Linked DNA regions of Stegostoma tigrinum. The protein of the gene in region 2 purifies or fractionates together with the protein of the main gene of each other region. This does not show direct contact. Links are inferred from orthologs where the notes say so. Each region holds a gene or a part of one and is shown on either strand. Other genes may lie near its edges.

Region 1 (7,500 bases), on a different chromosome or scaffold from region 2:
AGGTTGATTGATCCATAACATTTATAATCAGTTGAGGTTCATAATCTCCAGATTCCCCTTTTTGGGAAGAAATATTTATTGATTGCATCCCTGAAAGACCCAGTTTGAATTATAAGATTTTGCCCTCTTTTTCTGTACCCGCAATCCCCAGAGATATTAGTTTTTCTCTATCTGCTTGATCCCTTTATTAATTTAAAAGTCATTTAGATTACCCCTTACAATTCTAACCTCAATGAAGCATAAGCGATGCTTAGAAATCTACGCTTATAGTGTACGTCCTTAAACCTCAGTATCATTTTCCTGCATCTGTCCTGCATCCTCTCAAAGAATAAATATATCCTTCTGACATACAGTGTCCAGAGCTGAGCATAAATGGGATCTAACCAGAATCACTCTATCTCTCCTCGTCCCTCCGCAGTTGGAAAATATTGTAATTTATATTGCTCCAATCCAGACAGATGACCTCAGACTTCCCCATGTTGTGTTCCAGCTGAGTTAAACTGCCATCGTTTTTCTCACTTAGTCTGTCTACGGCCTTCACAACTTTCTGCTGCCATCCACACTGCTTGCTACTTCTTGTAAAGTCCAAAACTGGAAATGTAATTCTTCATTTCTTCATCCAAACTGGTTATATACGGTGAAAAATGGAAAACTGCTAATCAGAGAAGGTTTCCTTTAACCCTTCTGTCTATCTGCCTTTCCAAGCAATTATTAATCCACATCACAGGGTTACCTCCAATTCCATATGCTTCCAGTCTAATTAATTTGTAAAACATTATTAAATGCACTTGGACATTGATAAAAGACAGTGTCTGCATATACTCCCTGATTCACTATGCCAGTAACCTCCTCAAAAAATTCAACCAGTTCTGGTCGCCCTATTATAGGAAAGATGTGGATGCTTTGGAGAGAGTTCAGAGGAGGTTTACCAGGATGCTGCCTGGACTGGAGGGCTTATCTTATGAAGAGAGGTTGACTGAGCTCGGACTTTTTTCATTGGAGAAAAGGAGGAGGAGAGGGGATTTAATTGAGGTATACAAGATAATGAGAGGCATAGACAGAGATGATAGCCAGAGACTATTTCCCAGGGCAGAAATGGCTAACACGAGGGGTCATAGTTTTAAGCTGGTTGGAGGAAAGTATAGAGGGGTTGTCAGAGGCGGGTTCTTTACGTAGAGAGTTGTGAGAGCATGGAAAGCGTTGTCAGCAGCAGTTGTGGAAGCAAGGTCATTGGGGTCATTTAAGAGACTGCTGGACATGCATATGGTCACAGAAATTTGAGGGTGCATACATGAGGATCAATGGTCGGCACAACATCGTGGGCTGAAGGGCCTGTTCTGTGCTGTACTGTTCTATGTTCTATTAACTTGCGTTAGTCAAACACAACCTCACAAAATATTGTTGATTCTCTGATCAATTGATATTGATCCAAGACTCAATTATTCTGATCAATAAAAGGTAACCTCACCCTAATTAATGTTAACTTTACAAGTCTGTAGGTACCTGGTTTCCCTCTCTGTCATTTCTCAAATAAAGGAATGACATTTGCAATTTTCTGATCCAAAGACATAATCTAGACTTATGGAACATTACAAACTGCAACTTTCTCACTTTCTTCTTTAAACATCCTGAGGACCCAGAAAAGTGCCTTTCTTGGTTCTCATTATTCCCTCTAGATATTTAATCAGCTCAAAGTAAGTAAAAAATGAAATTATGCTAAAGGACCAACATTCACTTTTACTTCTCAATATATGTTTTTTAAAAACTTTTATCGTTAGCTTCGAGGAGTAGAGTTTTTGTATTTGCAAGTTTTTGTTTCATTCTCCTTTTTGCATTTGATTATTTGTTTGTGTAACTTTTTGGTTTTAATAGTCTTCGATCTGCTGGATTCATTTGAACACATGCTTATGTTGATATTTTAGTTTAGCTCGATGCTGTTTCGTAATTTATTAGTTGACCATTGTTGGTTAATATGACTTGTTGCTGTTTAGGGTTCTTCACTGGTTTGAATTGTACCAAATATGTGTTTAGATAATTACTATTGTTTGTCGTGTTAATAGTTCTATTACTAGACATTTTGTTTCTCATCCATTGAAGCTTGTTAATACTTAAAATGTAACAGCTCGAGATCCCTCTTTAAATTAAAGCATTTTCTCTTCATATGGTAATATAAAATAACGTTGATTTTGAATAGAATAAATGACAAGGAGATGTCAGTTGGTAGTTCATGATCAAATCTTGTCAACAGGAAGGAAAGAAATATTTGAGATAGTTTTGTTAATTTAAAGGTTAACTTTAAGGTGTAACAAGCAGCCAGCAAGACAAATGGCACATGAGGCTTAATTGCAAGGGATTAAAATATAAGGGTAAAAAAACAAGTCTTACTCCACTTAACGCAAGTGTAGACCCACCCTTGGAACTCTTGTCTTGTTTAAGAAACATTTAACTTGTCTAAGATGGATTGCAACAAAGGTGGGCAAGATTGATAGTTGGTATGAGAGGCCTTTCCTATGAGGAGAGATTCAGTGTAAAGTAGCCCATACTCTGAAGACTAAAGAATAAGATGTAATCTCAGTGAACTGTGTCACATTCTGAAAGTGCTTCACTCTAGATGCTAAGTTCCAGAGCGTGGAATCTGGGGGAACTGAAGCTAACGGGTAAGCTATTCAGGACTTAGATGCAGAGGAAATATTTCACCTAATGAGTTCTGGTAGCGTCGTCACTGAGAATATTCAACATGTCAATTAATAAATTTCTAAATATTAAAGATCTCAATGGATGCGAGGATAATGCAGGAAATGACATTGAGGTAAAATATCAATAATAAACTAATTCAAACACAGGCAAATGGGACTAGTTTGGTTTATGAAACAGGGTCTGCATGGATGAGTTGGGTCAAAGGGCCTGTTTTCACACTGTGTACCTTTAGGTCTCTGGAACATGACTCTCCTTTCTCTCTAATTGTAAGTAGCAGAGTATGCACTCTTGAATAGTTGTCATGGAACACACAATGTTGTACGGCTATAGGGGCTATTTTGGTGTTACCTTACTCTTGGGATTCCAGTTGCTAGTGAAGCCAGCAGTTTATAGCCCGTTCCCAATTCCCACTGGACTGAGTGCCTTACTGGGCTGTTTCAGAGGACAGCTAAGTGAAACACAGTGCTGTGCCCTGTTACCCAGCCCAGGTAAATGCAGGAGATTACATTCCCCAACGTACACTTGCGAACCAAATGGGTTTTTGTAACATTCTGGTAATTTCTTGATCAATATTGCCTGCAAAGCCATTGGTTCCGGGCGTTTACGCGGATTTAAATTCCCCCAAATGATTCTGTGGTGTTTTGACCCATCTCTGGAGTACATCAGTCTTGGCTATGGATCGTGAGTTCATTACCAATGCGTCCGGGGAGCACCGAGGGCCCCATTAGTGCACGTTTGCACAAGAGCAGCTTTGCAGGACAGGCAGGACACCCCTGAAGCTGCCAACTCAGCTGCGCCATTGCAGGAAAGATCAGTGCCACCCTGCTGTGCGCATGCTCCGCCACGGCCACGCCCGCCTCTTCTGATTGGATGCATCGGTCCAGGGTCTTGCGCTTGCGCACTGCCACCAGCTTTTGACTTTCAGCAGCGCCCTTGATCGGGAGCGCGCGGCTGCCCCGGTGCGAACCGCCTCAGCCAAACTCGCCGTCATTGCACCGAAATGTATATACCTGCATGTTGCAGTCCTGCTTTCCCCTCTCTACTGGACGATTACATGCTGACGCGCGCCCGGCCCGTGGGCAAGCGGTTTTGTTGTGACAGGAAACGCGCGCCCCCGTTCCTCACCAACCCCCGGCATCTTTCGTTGGGAGGTTAGAGCCAGGCACCGGCCCTAGATACCGGCGGCCAATCAGAATGCAATGCTCCCCACCGAATTCCCCGCCCCCCCACTGCCCGCTCCGACCAATCAGAGCACGGGGCATGATCAGCCGCCTGTATTTTTAGCCAGATACCAGTCACTCGGTATCCATGCGCACTCAGTGTTTATCACACACGAAGCCTATATGGACACTTTGTACCTTATGATTGTTATTTTGACGATTTCTATAATGTCAGCACTCACTAATAACGTGATTTAGATTTGCATCTCTTGGTCTTCTGGTTGAACTTTAACTGTAAACGAACTAGATCGTGTGGGGACTATTTACCAAAGCAACCATTTACGATTCTGAGGGACGCAATGATAGACATGTCTCTAGCTCAATCAAAACATTACTTTCAGAGCCCCGCCCTCCCGACCAAACGTTTAAATACCTCTGCGGCGAAAGAGGCGGGGACACGCTCGCGTTCGCCCAATCGAAACTGCGCACTGAGCCTAGGCCCCGCCTACTACCGGGACGTTATAATGATAAAGTAGTCCCGGGCATTCCCACTTCACGATGTGGCCCCGCCCCCTCCGTGCTGAGGGTCCGCGGAGGGAGCGAGGCTATAAATAGCGGTGCGCCGCGGGCCGATGGCAATGAGTTGTAAACGCTCCTGGCAGGTTGCGGGTTGTGTGCGGTGGAGGAGCGGCGCTGACCGCAACAAGAAGGAAATTACATAAAATATATGAACGTAATATATCACCTCAAAGAAAATACAAATTTTTTTACTAAAAGTTCAACAAAACAAAAACGCGACGGATTTCTCCCTCAGATTCTCCCTCATTGACTGTCCATTTAATCAGCGCCAGGAACAGCCGAGTAAGTACTAGAACCTTCTCCGCTCGCGGGCCGCACTCAGGGCGATAGATAGAGAGAGGCGACAGTGAGGCGGCTGCTACCGCAACAGGGCGGTTATCTCACTGCTGTTTAAAGTCTGCTCCTGGAGAGCGACGGTAACTGTTCCTGACGCCCCATTCTCTTTCCCCCCCCCCCCCGCTCTCTCTTCTCCCCCCCCCCGCTCTCTCTTCTTCCCCCCCCCCCGCTCTCTCTTCTTCTCCCCCCCCCCCGCTCTCTCTTCCCCCCCCCCCGCTCTCTCTTCCCCCCCCCCGCTCTCTCTTCCCCCCCCCCGCTCTCTCTTCTTCCCCCCCCCGCTCTCTCTTCTTCCCCCCCCCGCTCTCTCTTCTTCCCCCCCCCGCTCTCTCTTCCCCCCCCCCCGCTCTCTCTTCTTCCCCCCCCCGCTCTCTCTTCTTCCCCCCCCCCGCTCTCTCTTCTTCCCCCCCCCCGCTCTCTCTTCTTCCCCCCCCCGCTCTCTCTTCTTCCCCCCCCCCGCTCTCTCTTCCCCCCCCCCGCTCTCTCTTCCCCCCCCCCGCTCTCTCTTCTTCCCCCCCCCGCTCTCTCTTCTTCCCCCCCCCGCTCTCTCTTCTTCCCCCCCCCGCTCTCTCTTCCCCCCCCCCCGCTCTCTCTTCTTCCCCCCCCCGCTCTCTCTTCTTCCCCCCCCCCGCTCTCTCTTCTTCCCCCCCCCCGCTCTCTCTTCTTCCCCCCCCCCGCTCTCTCTTCTCCCCCCCCCCGCTCTCTCTTCCCCCCCCCCGCTCTCTCTTCCCCCCCCCCGCTCTCTCTTCTCCCCCCCCCCCGCTCTCTCTTCCCCCCCCCCCGCTCTCTCTTCCCCCCCCCCGCTCTCTCTTCCCCCCCCCCCGCTCTCTCTTCTCCCCCCCCCGCTCTCTCTTCCCCCCCCCCCGCTCTCTCTTCCCCCCCCCCGCTCTCTCTTCCCCCCCCCCGCTCTCTCTTCCCCCCCCCCCGCTCTCTCTTCCCCCCCCCCCGCTCTCTCTTCCCCCCCCCCCGCTCTCTCTTCTCCCCCCCCGCTCTCTCTTCTCCCCCCCCGCTCTCTCTTCTCCCCCCCCGCTCTCTCTTCTCCCCCCCCGCTCTCTCTTCTCCCCCCCCGCTCTCTCTTCTCCCCCCCCGCTCTCTCTTCTCCCCCCCCGCTCTCTCTTCTCCCCCCCGCTCTCTCTTCTCCCCCCCGCTCTCTCTTCTCCCCCCCCGCTCTCTCTTCTCCCCCCCCGCTCTCTCTTCTCCCCCCCGCTCTCTCTTCTCCCCCCCCGCTCTCTCTTCTCCCCCCCCGCTCTCTCTTCTCCCCCCCCGCTCTCTCTTCTCCCCCCCCGCTCTCTCTTCTCCCCCCCCGCTCTCTCTTCTCCCCCCCCGCTCTCTCTTCTCCCCCCCCGCTCTCTCTTCTCCCCCCCCGCTCTCTCTTCTCCCCCCCCGCTCTCTCTCCTCCCCCCCCCGCTCTCTCTCCTCCCCCCCCCCGCTCTCTCTCCTCCCCCCCCCCGCTCTCTCTCCTCCCCCCCCCCGCTCTCTCTCCTCCCCCCCCGCTCTCTCTCCTCCCCCCCCCCGCTCTCTCTCCTCCCCCCCCGCTCTCTCTCCTCCCCCCCCCGCTCTCTCTCCTCCCCCCCCGCTCTCTCTCCTCCCCCCCCCGCTCTCTCTCCTCCCCCCCCCGCTCTCTCTCCTCCCCCCCCCGCTCTCTCTCCTCCCCCCCCCGCTCTCTCTCCTCCCCCCCCGCTCTCTCTCCCCCCCCCCCGCTCTCTCTTCTCCCCCCCCCCCCGCTCTCTCTTCTCCCCCCCCCGCTCTCTCTTCTCCCCCCCCCCGCTCTCTCTTCTCCCCCCCCCGCTCTCTCTTCTCCCCCCCCCCGCTCTCTCTTCTCCCCCCCCCCGCTCTCTCTTCTCCCCCCCCCCGCTCTCTCTTCTCCCCCCCCCCCCGCTCTCTCTTCTCCCCCCCCCCCGCTCTCTCTTCTCCCCCCCCCCGCTCTCTCTTCTCCCCCCCCCCGCTCTCTCTTCTCCCCCCCCCGCTCTCTCTTCTCCCCCCCCCCGCTCTCTCTTCTCCCCCCCCCCCGCTCTCTCTTCTCCCCCCCCCCCGCTCTCTCTTCTCCCCCCCCCCCGCTCTCTCTTCTCCCCCCCCCCCGCTCTCTCTTCTCCCCTCCACCCACTTTAACCCTCCCACTCCCTTAAGACCCCCTCCTTAAGCCCTGCCCAAGCTGCCCCCACCCCCATCTCCTGAAAACCTGCAACGACCCCCCCGCCTCCTGCCCCCCCTCAAATGTCCCACCCCCCCACTCCGACTACTTCCCCCCCCCGACTACTTCCCCCCCTCTCCGACTACTCCCCCTCTCCGACTACTCCCCCTCTCCGACTACTCCCCCTCTCCGACTACTCCCCCTCTCCGACTACTCCCCCTCTCCGACTACTTCCCCCCCCCTCCGACTGCTTCCCCCCCCTCCGACTGCTTCCCCCCCCTCCGACTGCTTCCCCCCCCTCCGACTGCTTCCCCCCCCTCCGACTGCTTCCCCCCCCTCCGACTACTTCCCCCCCCTCCGACTACTTCCCCCCCCTCCGACTACTTCTCCCCCCCCTCCGACTACTTCTCCCCCCCCTCCGACTACTTCTCCCCCCCCCTCCGACTACTCCCCCCCCCTCCGACTACTCCCCCCCCCTCCGACTACTCCCCCCCCCTCCGACTACTCCCCCCCCCTCCGACTACTCCCCCCCCTCCGACTACCCCCCCCGACTACTCTCTTCCCCCCCCCCGACTACTCCCTTCCCCCCCCCCCCGACTA
Region 2 (7,431 bases):
GGTTATTCAGGAGGTTGATGAGGCTTCTTCTGGAGTACTGTGCGCAGTTCTGGTTGCCCTGCTATAGGAAGGATATTATTAAACAGTAGAGGGCTCAGAAAAGATTTACCAGGATGTTGCTGGGGATGGACAGTTTCAGATATAAAAAATAGGCTGAAAAGACTGGGACTTTTTTCGCTGATGCATAGGAAGTTGTAGGGTGACCTTAGAGGTTTATAAAATTATAGAGGCATTAGTCTTTTCCCTAGGCTGGGGGAGTTCAGAACCATATTTTTAAAATGAGAGGAGAAAGATTTAAAAAGAATGGGCTTTTTTTTTAAAAAACACATTGGCATAGTATGGGAACTGGACTGCCAAAGGAAGTGGTGGATGCAGATACAGTTACAACATTTAAGACATTTGGATAAGTACATGAATAAAAAAGGGTTGGAGAGAAATGGGCCAAATGCAGGCAGCTGGGTTAGTTTAGTTTAGGAACATGGTCAGCTTTGACTGGTCAGACCAAAGGGTCTGTTTGCATGCTGTATAATTCTATGACTAATCATAAATTAGCAAAGCCAACTTCACATACAATTAATAAATTTGTAGCAGAGCAAGTCACTAAACTTCCTGAAGTACTTTTTTTTAAGGCTGGGTAAATTCTCTCCTTAAAGATCACACATTGACTGCTTTCCTCAATGTTCAAAAACTTCAGTAAGTTTTAGAACTCAGTTGAATTTTAAACTATGACAAGAACAAGTTGCAAATTGTTTTGAAAAGATCAAAACAAAATCCAAAAATACCCAAGGATTCCAAACTATCTCATCACAGATACTGGTCGAGTTTTTTTATTCATTCATGGGTTGAGGGCATCTGCTGGCTAAGCCAGCATTTACTGCCTACCCCAGAGGGCAGGTCTGAGTTAACCAGATTGCTGTAAGTCTGGAGTCACATGTAGTCCAAGGAAGGATGGCAGTTTCCATCCCTAAAAAAACCAATAGTGAACCAGGTCGGTCTATTCAAAAATTGACAATGGGTTCATTGTCATTAGAGTTCAATTCCAGAGTTTTCTTCAATTCAAATGTCATGATTTGCCCTGGCAAGATTTGAAACCAGGTCTCCAGAACATTACCTGTCTACAGATTAATAGTCCAGCAATAATTCCATTAGAGCATTGCCTCCCCTTGAGTATATTTCCAGTAATTATATCAAATAAAGTTTGCTGTAAAAGAAGAACGATTGTCTTTCACTGTCCTAATGTATAACGATCAAGCAATAAGTTACAAAACTGCACCTTCTACTCAAACATATCTTCAAGCAAGAAGACAATTCTGAATTCAAGTGGTTTTCTCATTTGTTTCAGGTTTCAATTTTGTCGACTGTTCCAGCTTAATCATGACAAAAAATTTCAACACCTTTGTAGTTGCCATTCAACTATATGGTATTTTCTACAAATCCCACTTCCTTCCAATGGTTGACAGACATGTACTCAACTTTCCAAATGCAAGGAACAGTCACAGTCACAATTAGATGACACTTTCAAAGAACAATTTGCTTTTGAAGTCCAGTGATTCACAACAAATGAGCTAGAGAAGTTTCTCTCAACTTGTAAGTTAAACAAGGGAATGAACTAGTTCAATTGACTAAGAGACACATTAGTATAGTTAAATTGAAATAGAATTCTAATTAAACTGAAACAAAACAGGAACCAAATGAGACCTTGTTAAGCTGTCAATTAATCTGAATACTTCTAATTAAAATCTTTGCAGATTAATTACTTAATATTAAACGTTTAACAAATCAAAAAGTTGTGTTAAGTACGAAGTATTGCTGAAAAGAATTAGTTTCAACTACAGGTCCATACACAAGAAACAGACAAGTTCCATTCGTTCCCTTCCCCCACTTTTGATGTCCCCTTTACTAGGCCTCACTCCTAAAGGTGTTAGTTACGAGCACCGACTTGAGCAGTTTATACAAAGCGTAAAGTTTACCAAACGTGGAAAAAAAACTTTCTGCCCATCTGTTTCAGCAGCTAATATCCGAGGGAGCTTTCCCTCTCTTACACGCTAAACAATTTTAAGTTCAATATGTGACCATTAACTTTTTGGTAGGCCCAGACTTCACCATGTGAGTTTGTATTTGCCTTTCTACTTTCTTATTGTTACAATTGTTTGATGTTTTATCATTATAAAGGAGTAACCAGTTTGCAAAGACAGTCGTTTTGTTTTCTAAAAAAGAATTGTTACATCAGTTTCCCTCTCTCTCACACACATAACACTTTCGTTTTCTCGGTGAAATGAAGCAGGCCTCAGGCTCCCGGGGCCTCTAGTACATGGTGTGCGAGACTTGTTTCTCGGCAAACTCACATGAGAGATCTCCTGCTGGCTGGATTTGTAATTCTTCTTGGTCAGGTTGTCCACAAGGTAGCTGATTTGAGACAAGGCCAGCGATAACGAGTCAAGATTCATTGCTGGTCGGGGCGGTCAGCTGAGGAAAGCGGGAAATGGTCATTATTCCCCTTTCTTTTACTGGAAAAAGAAAAATTTATCTCTCCTCTTCAGCGCCTTTCCTTTCTGTCTGTCTGTCTGTCTCTCTCTCTTTTTAAATATACAACGATGGAAGAGGGAGGGAATTGAGGGGTTCGGAGGAGGTGGTGGTGGTGAGGAGGGGAGGGGGGTTGGGGAGGAAGAGAGCTCCTTCTAAGTGTTCTCACGGGAAAGTCCGCCGCTCCAATGGTCACTCCACAAAGTGTCCGCTCCGCTTCCTCTTCAGACTTTGTCCCCGTCAGTCTCAGTCTGTATGTGTGTGTGTGTGTGTCTGTCTGTCTCTCTTCTCTCTCTCGATTTCAGTTAGGTCCGCCGCCCGGGTTGCTCGCTCACTTTTCACCCGCTGTCGCTCCTCTTCCTCCTTTTCTTCCTCCTCCTCCGTGTAGCCTGAACATGGCGCTGCTCTGCCGGTAGGGTTACACACACACACACACAGAGCGAGAGAGGAGAGGCCGAGAGTGTGGGGAGGATTGGGGGGGGAAGAGAGAGAGAGAGAGGGGGAGGGGATGTTGGGGGGGAGGGGATGTTGGGGGATAGCAGCCTGGGGGAGGGAAAGTAAGGAGGAGAGGTGAGGTGGAGGAGGGGTGGGAAGGGAGAGGGGAAGAGAGCGCGGCGTGGGCCTGGGCCTGCTGGGCCGGGGAGGTTGTTGTTGTTGTTGCTGCTTGGAGGTGGTGATGGGGAGGGGGGGCGGCGGTGACGGGGGTGCTCGCTCTCGACTTTCTCGCTGATGGGCTCGGTGCAAGCGGCTGCAAATGGCGGCGGCCTCGCTCACTGCGCCATCTTGGAAACACCGACCCTTCCAAAATGAGAGAGAGAGAAAAAAAACACAATAACCACACGGAGAGGAGAGGAGAGGAGGCGGGGGGGGGAAGGCGAAAATATGTTCCTCCAGGAAACTTTTCAGGGCCGACCCGATCGTGTTTGCATTTTCTCCGGGAAAGAAATGAGCCTTCAGCTTCAGTTTATTGCTTGCTTTTTTGGTTTTCTTTAAAAAAAACACACCGACACTAGAAGGAAAACAATCCCCGAACCCGCCGCTTAGTCGGGCGAGAGCGAGACTGTTCGGATAGAGGAGGGGCGGTAAACAGTTGAGGGTTTCCGGTTAGCGGGTTCAAGCTGAGAACAGTGCGGGTATATGTTCAAAGTTTGTTATTTTATTTCTTTAATTGTTTTTTTAAAAAAACATGTTCGGCCCTCCCCTCCTCCCCTCCTCCCCTCCACATCGCCCTCTCTGATATAGTTCGAGAGAAAGACGCTCTCCCTCAAGCCCCGCCCCCATCCGCCAGGACCAGTCGCAGGCCCTGGTCGTACCCGCCAATCATATGCCCTGCCCCCAACAAGCCGTGGCCAATCACACATCCCGCCAAATACCCGCCACAATCCGCCAATTACAGGCCACTCGACTTCAACCCGCCATTCACAAATCCCGCCTACGCTGACCTGTGCCGTGACTGGCACAGCGCGCCTACACGCCAATCATCAGTCTCCCACACCTCATCCATCTCAGAGGAAATCCCGCCCCCAGGTTCCCGGGACGTCATCGGGGGGCGGGTAGGGGAAAGAAGGCATCCTCATGTCAATCATAAACACTCCCGGCCAATCACGGCTAGAAACCACGCCACTCACGTCGCCCATGGCGACAGTAAACCTCGCGCCTAATATGCACATCACAGGAATCGCCCATTTCGCCGCCAGGGGTTCAACAACAAACCCCGCCCTCAGTTGCCGGGACCGCGTACATAATACAAGTCAATCGCAGACGTCTCTCTGTCCCCACCAAAATTGGTACAGTCCAAACTTTGTCGCCCTCTTTAAGATAAACGAATTTTTACTTTAACGAACACGCAAAATTTTACTCTGTAGTTTCTTTTAAATCGAATCTTCGTGGAATGGGTGTTTTTTTAGTTTTAAAAGACATTTCATTCTGTGCCAACAGGGAAATTCTTGTTGAAGCGGAATATTCCGAATCTGTACCAAGTGTTGGGGGTAGGTTATTCTCTAATAATTATTAGGCGCGTTAACGAGAGAGGAGCAATTTGTTCATCCTACCCTCCTCCCATCTCCCGGGGATTAACCCTCTCAGCACCTCTACCACCGCGGGGATTGACCCTCACACAGCTCCTTCCCCCGTCCACCACCCACGGGATTAACCATCACAAACCGCCCTCTCCCCCCAACAGTCTTTTCCCTCCCCATGATTAACCCTCACACAGCTCCTCCCCCCCAATACTCCGCCTCTCCCCCCGGGATTAACCCTCAGCGACCCTCCCCTACACTAACCATCACCTCCCCCAGATTAACTGTCACACACCTTCCCGGCCCCATATTCCACCCCTCTTTACCACCCCCCCCCAACTTTGATTAACCCTGTGAGCCTTACACACCCCGGGGATTGACCCACCCGCTTCACCACGCACCCTGGGGATTGACCCTCAGGCAGCCCCTCCCAACCCCCACGCCTGGAGATCGACCCTCAGACAGCCCCTCCCCACCCCCACCCCCACTCCCTTCCCCCAATTAATTAACATCCCATCCCACCCCTCTGGGAGTTAGCCCTTATAATCCTTTCAGGATTAACCCTCACACAGCCCTGCTTCTATTCCACTCTTATCATTATACCTCTGAGCGTAATTCAATGCTGTTCTGTTCAGTTATTCTGCGACAGCAAGTTCCACCTCACTACATCCTTCATGTGAGGAAATTAAGTTTAAATGTTTCAGTTAATTGGTTCTCCAATGGCAATGGACCTTGCATGCCACCTATTGGCCTTTCGCCACCCTTCACCCAACACAGTTGCCATTCCTAAAATAGCATTAAAATTATGGAAAATTGATGTTGGTTTTGGTAATGTCTCGCTTAAGGTGGGGAGCTTTATTTTTATGTTGGCCTCCATGTTCACCTGGTTCTTCTGATTGTTTAAAAATCCAAATTTGTGATGGTGTGTTGTAACAAGATAAAATATAAAACAATATTGTTGTTTCTCACACTTTTGACAATTTATGCTACACATGGGAGCCGATCCAGTTGTGTGATGACACAAGTGGATTCTGGTGTGTTCTCACAATTAACCCTGGCATTGCATATCAGTGATTTGCGATTGGACCTACCCATGGACTACCTGGAGGACCCTCACAGAAAGCCATTGACCAGCAAACAACACCTTGAGGACTTGTAAAAAATCTGTTAAAAGAAATTGCAAGCTCCTCAACACAACAAAAACTTTTTTTCAGTGGCAGTTAACTGTCATTTAGCTGTGAGTGATTCTTTGAATCAGTGCTAACTACTGTGAACAGAAAGCTGATACAGCACTTGTAACTTGGGTGTGGTTTAAGAAAGGTATACAAAAATAAATAGTCTCTGCTGATACTTGTCAGCATAGTGTGGGAATAAAGCGAGATAATCACAAATCAATGGGGAATTTGGAGCAGATGGCACTGTTTTTCGTCTGCAATGGTTGCAGTATTTTGAGTTGCCACTAAATATTTAATTTTTAGATAGGAGACATAACCAAAATGGTCTGTACTAGCTACACTTGAGTCTCCTTCCGTCTTCAATCTATCATCATAGATATATGTATTCCCTTTTCCCATTGTTTGTCTAGCATTTTCCACATTACAACACTGGCTCCAGTTCAAAACTTTGTAATTAGCTATAAAGAGGTTTAAGACTGGTGATTGCCATATGCTCTTAATGTACTACACTTTGCTAGTAGCAAGTTCCGTATTTTCAAGACTCTAAAATAGTTTATTCTTCTGAATTCTGCATTCGACAATGGGTATAAATGTCAGTCTATAAAGCGGTTGTCTTCCCAACACGCCCGTCAGGCTGCAAAATTTGGTTGACAAATTGGTGACACCTGGGAAAGTTTGAGACAAAACCATCAGTGCTGCCTATCGAATATCTAATCTGCATAACACCATGCAATATAAACAGCCTACAGGAAGTAGGCATCGTGAGCAAGGAAATGAACAATCCTACATGATAACTACTCCAGACAGGCCATTGCAGGAGAATGCTGAACACTTGTTCAAAATGACCTTTCTACTCCCAGCTCACGACTGGTCAAAGGTCCTAGGGTGGTCAACAGAACGGTTTTAAAGATACCATGAAAGCCTACTTGAATGTGATTTCAACAGCAGGGAAGAGAATGCACTGGATCATTCACAATGACTTGCTTCGCCAAGTCCTAACAGCTAATGTGGATATGTGATTTTTTTTTAATGCTATTTCTCTCTTTTATTTTACCTTTTCCACTGTTCTTTGTGCAGCTCAACCAAGTCTTCACCTCACCATGTGATCAGAGATAATGGGCACTGCAGATGCCGGAGAATCCAAGATAACAAAGTGTGAAGCTGGATGAACACAGCAGGCCAAGCAGCATCTCAGGAGCACAAAAGCTGACGTTTCGGGCCTAGACCCTTCATCCCTTCTAGGCCCGAAATGTCAGCTTTTGTGCTCCTGAGATGCTGCTTGGCCAGCTGTGTTCATCCAGCTTCACAATTTGTCGTCTTGCACCTCACCATGTGGGAGGTTTGCTCCCACAAACCCTTAGGGGTGGGATCTACTCAGGCCTATCTGGCCTGCTGTGGTAGAAGAAAATCACTTTCTGCTGTAACTAGAAGAGGCTGTATTATTGAACAAGAAATTGTGTGTTGCATGTTAGCATCTTGTTTAAGGTTACATTGATGCTATAGCCATTCAGAGATTGAAGAGAACCTGGAAATTATGTTTTACACTGTCAAGATCCTAACCTGAGTTGCCCTTAAATCCACATGAAAACATAGCGAGCAATGCTTAAAACTCTTCAGCATTAGCTCTTTCAGACCTTTACTATTTTATACAACGTCCACCTCCTTTACCTTCCACTAATTACACCACTCTCTCTTACTGTCTCTCTTTCTCTGCC

The links. The genes of interacting proteins can lie anywhere in the genome.
Region 1: the proteins of cnot1 (region 2) and tob1a purify together in Homo sapiens (co-immunoprecipitation; 3 studies listed by BioGRID and IntAct, counting the BioPlex papers as one, with this or other methods). This does not show direct contact. The link is inferred for Stegostoma tigrinum from reciprocal best matches to the Homo sapiens genes CNOT1 and TOB1.

Annotation. Positions count from the first base shown.
Region 1 is NC_081375.1:6,583,925-6,591,424, forward strand, and holds the start of tob1a (protein Tob1a), read left to right. Parts: upstream 1-4,488; 5' UTR 4,489-4,718; intron 4,719-7,500. UniProt on the Homo sapiens protein: Anti-proliferative protein; the function is mediated by association with deadenylase subunits of the CCR4-NOT complex. Mediates CPEB3-accelerated mRNA deadenylation by binding to CPEB3 and recruiting CNOT7 which leads to target mRNA deadenylation and decay.
Region 2 is NC_081369.1:4,604,351-4,611,781, reverse strand, and holds the start of cnot1 (CCR4-NOT transcription complex subunit 1), read right to left. Parts: upstream 3,018-7,431; 5' UTR 2,859-3,017; exon of another isoform or gene 2,467-2,858; 5' UTR 2,448-2,466; coding exon 2,346-2,447; intron 1-2,345.